Astyanax mexicanus: one gene and its partner. The protein of the gene in region 2 purifies or fractionates together with the protein of the main gene of each other region. This does not show direct contact. Links are inferred from orthologs where the notes say so. Each region holds a gene or a part of one and is shown on either strand. Other genes may lie near its edges.

Evidence for each region. The genes of interacting proteins can lie anywhere in the genome.
Region 1: the proteins of wdr19 (region 2) and ift122 purify together in Homo sapiens (affinity purification with mass spectrometry; 4 studies listed by BioGRID and IntAct, counting the BioPlex papers as one, with this or other methods). This does not show direct contact. The link is inferred for Astyanax mexicanus from reciprocal best matches to the Homo sapiens genes WDR19 and IFT122.

Annotation. Positions count from the first base shown.
Region 1 is NC_064419.1:15,112,453-15,116,207, reverse strand, and holds the start of ift122 (intraflagellar transport protein 122 homolog), read left to right. Parts: upstream 1-875; 5' UTR 876-975; coding exon 976-1,034; intron 1,035-2,318; coding exon 2,319-2,385; intron 2,386-2,937; coding exon 2,938-3,022; intron 3,023-3,253; coding exon 3,254-3,332; intron 3,333-3,755. UniProt on the Homo sapiens protein: As a component of the IFT complex A (IFT-A), a complex required for retrograde ciliary transport and entry into cilia of G protein-coupled receptors (GPCRs), it is required in ciliogenesis and ciliary protein trafficking.
Region 2 is NC_064432.1:8,207,369-8,211,123, reverse strand, and holds the start of wdr19 (WD repeat-containing protein 19), read left to right. Parts: upstream 1-1,510; 5' UTR 1,511-1,595; coding exon 1,596-1,601; intron 1,602-3,373; coding exon 3,374-3,465; intron 3,466-3,588; coding exon 3,589-3,654; intron 3,655-3,755. UniProt on the Homo sapiens protein: As component of the IFT complex A (IFT-A), a complex required for retrograde ciliary transport and entry into cilia of G protein-coupled receptors (GPCRs), it is involved in cilia function and/or assembly.

The DNA of each region.
Region 1 (3,755 bases), on a different chromosome or scaffold from region 2:
AAAACAATGAATACTGTATCAAACCATTTTTTTCATTGTAGAACTCACTTTATTTAATTCAAAACAAACATTAAAAAATCAATGAAAACACTAAACAATCTGTGATTTTTCCTTTTGTACCATATCCCTATTTTATTTTTCATTACTTATAGTTAAAATGTTTCTATCTGTAAAAGTTAATAAATATATAATTTAAAAAATATGCCTATTATGCTAATAAATTTCATACAAAAATATAACAAAAATATTAGTTAGTTAGTTAGTAATTAATACATTTCCTTATTATTATTTCTTTTGATTATTCAAATACAAATAAGACAACAAATTGTTGTTTTCAAAGAAGACATACATGTATCACATATATCTAAGTGATTACGTCAATTTTAAATGATTTGATACAGTCTGTAATGTAAAGAAAGAGCAGAAAGTGGAGTACAAAAACATAAATTATCTTAAGCAGAGACCTATAGCTTGTTAGCTAGCTATGTTAGCTACAATTGTAGATAGAATTTAAGATAATAAAATTACATACAGGGTTTTTGTTTTGCAAGGTAACTACATGTCCATAAAAAAATCTGGGATTTTAACAGTGTAACTCTACATTTATGAATTAAGTCATTTATTTTCCTGAAAGTACCAAAACTTTTTTATAGCATCGAGTACAGACTGTGTACAATTTTTATCACAACATAAAAGAAAAAAAACATAGAATCATTTATATCGCCACATTGTTAAAGTATATATATATATATATATAATACATTTTAAGTTAATAATATTTTATAAGTAATCTCTCTCCAGAAACATGAAGGAATATTTTAAGTGTGCTCAGCAAATTTTCTAAACATGGGTAGCGGGTCCTCAGAACTTTTATTTTGACGGGGTGACGGCAGAGCTCCGTCCGTATTACACCGGAGACCTGTTGATATCGCCACAAAGCGAATTTTAACGAAATATTTAGCATTAAAAACAACGATGCGAGCTGTTCCCACATGGATAGATAAAGTACACGACCGGGATAAGGTTGAGCAGTGGTGAGACTCGCTGGTTTATAAACTGCTGGCTTTGTTTGTGTGAATTTTGATCAGTGGATGTGGTTAGCAACGGCGGTTACTATGTAAACCACTGGAGGGGTTTGTCAATATTAGCTTACTAGCTTATATTGGCTATGTGGCTAAGCTAACGATATCTACATAAATTTGTAAAGCGAAATATGTCGTTTGTGTAGTATTTAGCAGCCTGGCGGTGCAGCAGCAGGGTATTTTCTCTGGTTTCTGCTGTTGTTAAGTTGCAATACTGGATAAAACACAACCTAGCTTATTTAGCTTAGCTAACCAGCGTTAACAACCCTAACGGTTTAACCTAGCTTAAGCTAGCCTTTCATTTTAACTAGTTCATGTAAAAGTAACTTAGCTAGATTACCAAAGCAGTGTCGGTAACGTTAATGTTTACTGACAAACCAAAAACATATTTACGCGTCTGAATTAAGCATTTTAAACAAAGCAGGGCATAGCTGTAGGTGTATGAGAAATAATGTGTAGCTCATAGGTTTGCCACTCGTCCCGTAAAACACAGAATCGTCCTTTATTTGGCAATTAAATGTTGTTAATTAAATGTGGTTTGTTCGGTAACGTTATTTCCATAAATGTCCAAAACACATGTCTAACACACAGGTTCTGTTACAAAGTCAAATTAATGATTCATTCATTTAATATACAGCAGTATTAGCCAAAATAAGTATTATATATGGTCATATAAAGAACAAATCATACTAATGGATTAACAGTTAAATAAATAAATAAACAAATACATAAATTAACTTCATTTGAGAGAAAACCTTTATTGTAGAGCTTTCTCTGTATTTTGTATCAAAATGTTTGTATTTTTGGGGAATACAGTCTTCAGTGATTATTACATAAGTTATATTATTACAGTGGTGTAACTATGCACAAAAATATTCTACCGCATAACAAATTGTAAAATAATAATAATAATAATAAAAATAATAAATTGAAATTAAAATAAAGTGTATGTATATAAAACATACCACTGCTGCTGGCACCATGCCACACAGAAGTTGAGGAGCCATGTTTGTTTGTTGTTTATTTCTGATAGGTGGCAACTCTAGTAGTTAACTAGCTAGGTTAGCTTGCAGGCCAGTCTGTCTATTCTGTGGTTGTGTGATTCTGTAAATTTGTCATAAACTAAACTGCAACAAGCCAACATAAACTAATCTGAATAAACAAGCCAACATAAACTGATCTGAATTAAAAACGGAATCTCTTTGATGTATTGCTTTGTCTTCCTCTGTGTGGCAGCATTTATGACCTGGCGTTCAAACCAGATGGCAGTCAGCTCATAGTGGCAGCTGGAAACAGAGTGCTGGTATGTGGTGCTTCTTTTATGAAAGGATTTTTAGTTGTTTATAAATTCTAAGCTAATTTATTTAAGCTACATTGTACAAATGTCTGTAAACATCTCATCCAACTTTAAAAAAAAAAATCTAGGGTATAATTATAGAAATAAATGTGTTCTGAATCAAAAACATGCCATATAGCCCACCCTCAACTTGGTCAATATAAATAGATAAATGTTTTGTTATATTTATTAAGGTAAGTCAACAAAATCAAACAAACAAAATATTGAAAAACATGGCAAGTTATTCTGTAAGGAAAAAAAAAAAAACAGTAAAAGAAATTCTGTATATTTTGACAAAAGTACAGAAATTACAGTACCAGGGACACTGTCTAATTCAGTGTTTTTCTTTAGTTTGTTTTCTACATACTGGTTTATTTAATACTTTTTGTTTACTAAATAATTCTGCATGTCTTCTTGTATAGCTTTAATATAGTCTTCAATATTAAATTTACAATATTATTGGTGGATTTTGTTCTGAGTTTAGTTAAAATGTTAAAACATAAAACAAATCTGCTGCAGGTTTACGATACAGCTGATGGGACCCTTATCCAGCCACTTAAAGGCCATAAAGACACTGTGTACTGTGTGGCTTACGCTAAGGATGGTAAGTTTATTAATACTTAATAATACTTATTAATACTATTTTGGGCTCGGTTTCTCAAATGCTTTGTCTACTTAACTGACAGAAAAAGTATTTAGTGTGATGCTCTCTTTGACATTAGTATTGATCTGGATTTTGAGAGACATATCTCTATATATGTGCAGCGTATGATGCCACTGTCAGTATTTTTTATTCTTGATATAACTTCTCAGAACTTTTCTTCTCTTTGGTCAGGAAAGCGTTTTGCATCTGGCTCTGCAGACAAAAGCATCATTATCTGGACCTCAAAACTGGAGGGCATTCTCAAATACACGTGAGTTTGTGCTACTTTAATGTGATTTATGGTTATGGGGATTGCTATCATAACCACAATTGCTGCTTTATTTCTCACTTTACACTATTAATGGTGTTGTACTTACCACTTATAATCACCAGAGCAACACCAAAGCAACCACCTGGAATGCTTTAGGGCAACCATCTTACATCTAAAAACACCATAGAAACCACCTGGAAAACCAACACATAGCAACAACCTACCCAACTATTTTTTCTGTTTTTAGCTACAGTGCATCAGCGAGCTGGAATTCATTACAGGAAACCCTAAAACCCAGCTCGCTGGTGTCACTAAATCATTTTAAACTTTTAATATCTAACCATCCTCAGACAGCCTGTAACTTATTTAAAATTATTTTGTCTTTTTATTTATCTAATTTTATGTTTTACAAGTAAGCACTTT
Region 2 (3,755 bases):
TGCTGTTTTCATACTTTTCTATGTCTGATCTGTCCAGTTTTTAACTGTAATTTTTTACATATTTTTCTGCATTTGTTATTTCTGCTTGTCTGAAATGTACTGATAACTCTTGTGTAAATAAATATGAGCATCGATTCTGGTGGTTTTAAATGTTCTGGTGTTTTTTTTTTTATATTAAATATTTTAAAAAGTAGTTAAAGTGGCCTTCAAAAGTATTCATACTCATTCATTGAGCTTTTTTTCACATTTTGCCACCTTATAAACACAAACGTAAATGTGTGTGTATATATAAAAATCTTCCCAATTTACAAGACCAATTACCCAACCCACTCATTTGGACCCTATCACTAGTGATGCCCCAACACCAGGAGGGTGAAGTCTAACATGCCTCCTCCAATACATGTGAGGTCAGACTCTCTTTTCAAACTGCTGCTGATGCATCATTGACCAGTAGCATCGTAGTGACTTGGTTCCGATACATCAGCTCACAGACGCAAACATGTGCTGATCCACATCACCCTTTGGAGTGATGAGGGGAAAGAGCGCCATCTACACACCTAGAGAGAGCAAGGACAACTGTGTTTTCTTGGGGGTCCTGCAGCTGATAATAAGCTGCATGATCAGGATTCGAACCAGCAGTGTCCTGATCATAGTGGTAGCACCTTAGTCCACTGGACCACTCTGCGCCCGTGCAAATGGTTTTTATTGAGATTTTAAGTGATGGACCAGCACAAAGTAGCACATAATTAGGAAGTGGAATAAAAACAATACTTTTTTTTTTGACATGCAAAAGTAATCAGCCCTCTTTACTCAGAAACCCATAAAATCTCAATTAAATAATTTTTTAATACAGGTTTGTGGTTGTAAGGTGACAAAATGTGAAAAAAATTCCAAGGGGTATGAATACTTTTGCAAGCCACTGTACTAGCCTAGTTAGCTAATTGAAGGTAACACTTTACAATAAGGGTCACAAATAACAGTTTTTACAACAGGATTAAGATAAAGATCTTTTTGAAGGTATTAACTAAATATGACATTTAGCTACGGAACGTTAGACAAACACCTGAAAGATCCTGCCGATTTTGATACACGGATTGTTATTCCACCCAATATTGATTTGAACGCTCTGCATCTTTTTTTTTATTTCAGCCATTTCTTATTTTCTGCAAATAAATGCTCTAAATGACGATATTTTTTTGTTTGAGATTTGAAAGAATTGTCCGTAGTTTATAGAATAAAACAACAGTGTTCATTTTACTCAAACATAAACCAATAAATAGCAAAATCGGAGAAACTGATTCAGAAACCAGTTTATATGTATTACATAACTAAATAATATAAATAATAATCATTAAAATCATTTTTATTTATTTATAACTAATAACACGTGTTTTGTATTTATTGAATTGCTATATTGTGAATTTTATCAAAGTAATAAACAAATAAGTAAACATAAACGCCGTTGGTTGCTGGGCAGCGTTCAGGGCACGGGATTGGTCGTTGCTAAGGGCGGTCGCTAAGGCAGGAGCGGACGCCTCAGCGCGGGGCATTGTGGGAAGGAGAGAAGTTGTGTATTGGCTGTATCTGGAGGCAGCATGAAGGTATTTAATGTTATTAAACTCGCGGTCTGTGATTATAATGAGCTGCTGGGTTTATTTAACTGTTTATCTCTCAGCGCGGAGTTTCAGCGCGGCTTAGTTTTAACTCGCTACCGGTTACCGCTGTATCTGCAGCTCCGCTAGCCTAGCCTGCTAACTCTCAATAACCCCGAGCTCCCATACACGAGCCAGCAGCGCTCGAGCTCCTACATACAAGCTAAACACCTACAGAAACAATAACACAGCGCTACGAGTTTAAACATTTAGCCCGTTTTCTCCCCTCTTTTCTCTATCTCCTTTTATCTGTTTCTCTTCATCTCCTCTATGTTTCTCCTCCTCTCTCGTTCTCCTCACTCTTTTTCCTTCATTCTATTTCTCCTATCCTGTTCTCTGTATTTCCTCTTCTCTTTACTGTTTTTCACATTCTGTTTCTCCTCCTATTATCTGTTTCTTCTCTCCCCTGTTTTTCCTCTTCTGCCTCTCTGCTTCTCTGTTTCTCCTCTCTTATTCTCGGTTTCTCCTCCTCTGTTTCTTCTCTCCTCTTCTGTTTCTCTTCTCCTATTATCTGTTTCTCCTCCTGCACTCTTCTCCTATTCTCTTTATCCTCTTAAATTATGTTTCTCCTCTGTTTCTCCTCCTCCCTCATTCTCCTCAGTCTTTCTCCTCTCTCTGTTTCTCATATTCTGTTACTCCTCCTTCTCTGTTTCTTTTCCCCTCTTCTCTGTTTCTCTTCTGCTATTTTCTGTTTTTTCTTTCCTCTTTTTTTCTCTTCGCTTATTATCCGTTTCTCCTATTCTGCTCTTCTCCTATTCTCTGTTTCTCTTCTTCTATGTACTATTTCTCCTTTCATATTCTCTTTCTTCTCTCATGTTCTGTTTTTCCTCTCCTGTTTTCTGTTTCTCATCTCATGTTCTCTGTTTCTCCTCTCCTATTCTCTCTTTCTCCTCCTCTCCTTTCTGACTCCTCTCTCTCCTCTATCCTTCTCCTCTCTATCTTCTATTCTGTTTCTCCTCTCTTCTCTATCTCCTATTTTATCTCCTTCCCTTTTCTGTTTCTCACCTCCTCTCTTTCTCCTCTCTTTTAATCTCCTCTAATTCCACTCCTCACCTATCCTATTCTGTTTCTCTTCTCATCTCCTTTCATTCTCCTTTTGCCTCTGTGTCTCCTCTCCTATTCTGTTTCTAGTCTCTTTCTCTCTTCTATTTTCTGTATAAATTCTTTTCTTTTCTATTCTCTGTTTCTCCTTTCTTTCTTATCTTCTGTATTTTCTCCCCTTTGTCTCTATTCTTTTTCCCCTGCTATCTTCTCTTCTCTGTTTCTCTTTTCTTCTTTGTCTCTCTGTCTCTCCTGTTTCTCCTCTTCTCTCCTATTCTGTTTCTCCTCTCTTCTCATATCCTCTGTTTCTCCTTTTCTCTGTTCCTTCTCTCCCCTTCTCTTTCTGCTGTCATCTCCTCTTCTCCATTTTTCCTTCTCTTCTTCTATTTTTTGTTTCACCTCTCATCACCTCTTCTCTGTTTCTCATCCTCATTTCTCATTCTCTCCTCTCCTGTTTCTTCTCTTTTCTCATCTTTTCTTCTTTGTTTCCTTCTTTGTTTCTTTGTTCCTCCCCTTCTCTCCTATTATTTTTCTCCTTTCTTCTAATCTCTTCTCATTTGTTTCTCATCTCTTCTCATCTCCTCACCCCTGTTTTTCCTCTCCTTTTCTTCTCCTATTCTCTCCTGTTTCTCCTCTTTTCTCCTCTTCTAATCTGTTTCTCCTCTCCTCTGTTTCTCCAGAGAGTCTTCACCCTGTCGGAGAAGGGCTGGAGCGGCTCGGCTCTGCAGTACAGATGGCAGAAAGCTCTGGGGAATTATCTGGCTGTTGCAGGGTAAGATCAGTTGTAGCTGTTTGTATGTTGTATGTAGGTCATGTTTTTATTCTATTTTTATACAGTTTTATACATTTGTATTGTTTCTATACTATTTTTATTCACTTACTGTTTTATGAGCAGCCCCGACAACTCGGTCAAGATATTCGACCGTCATGGACAGAAGATGAACGAACTCAGTCTACCTGGGTCAGTACAAGCACTCTTACAGTACCAGTCCTCTTCTGATTTTATGATTTATGAGTTATGATTTTTTTTTTAAGATTGTTAATTTAATATTGAAGACATTA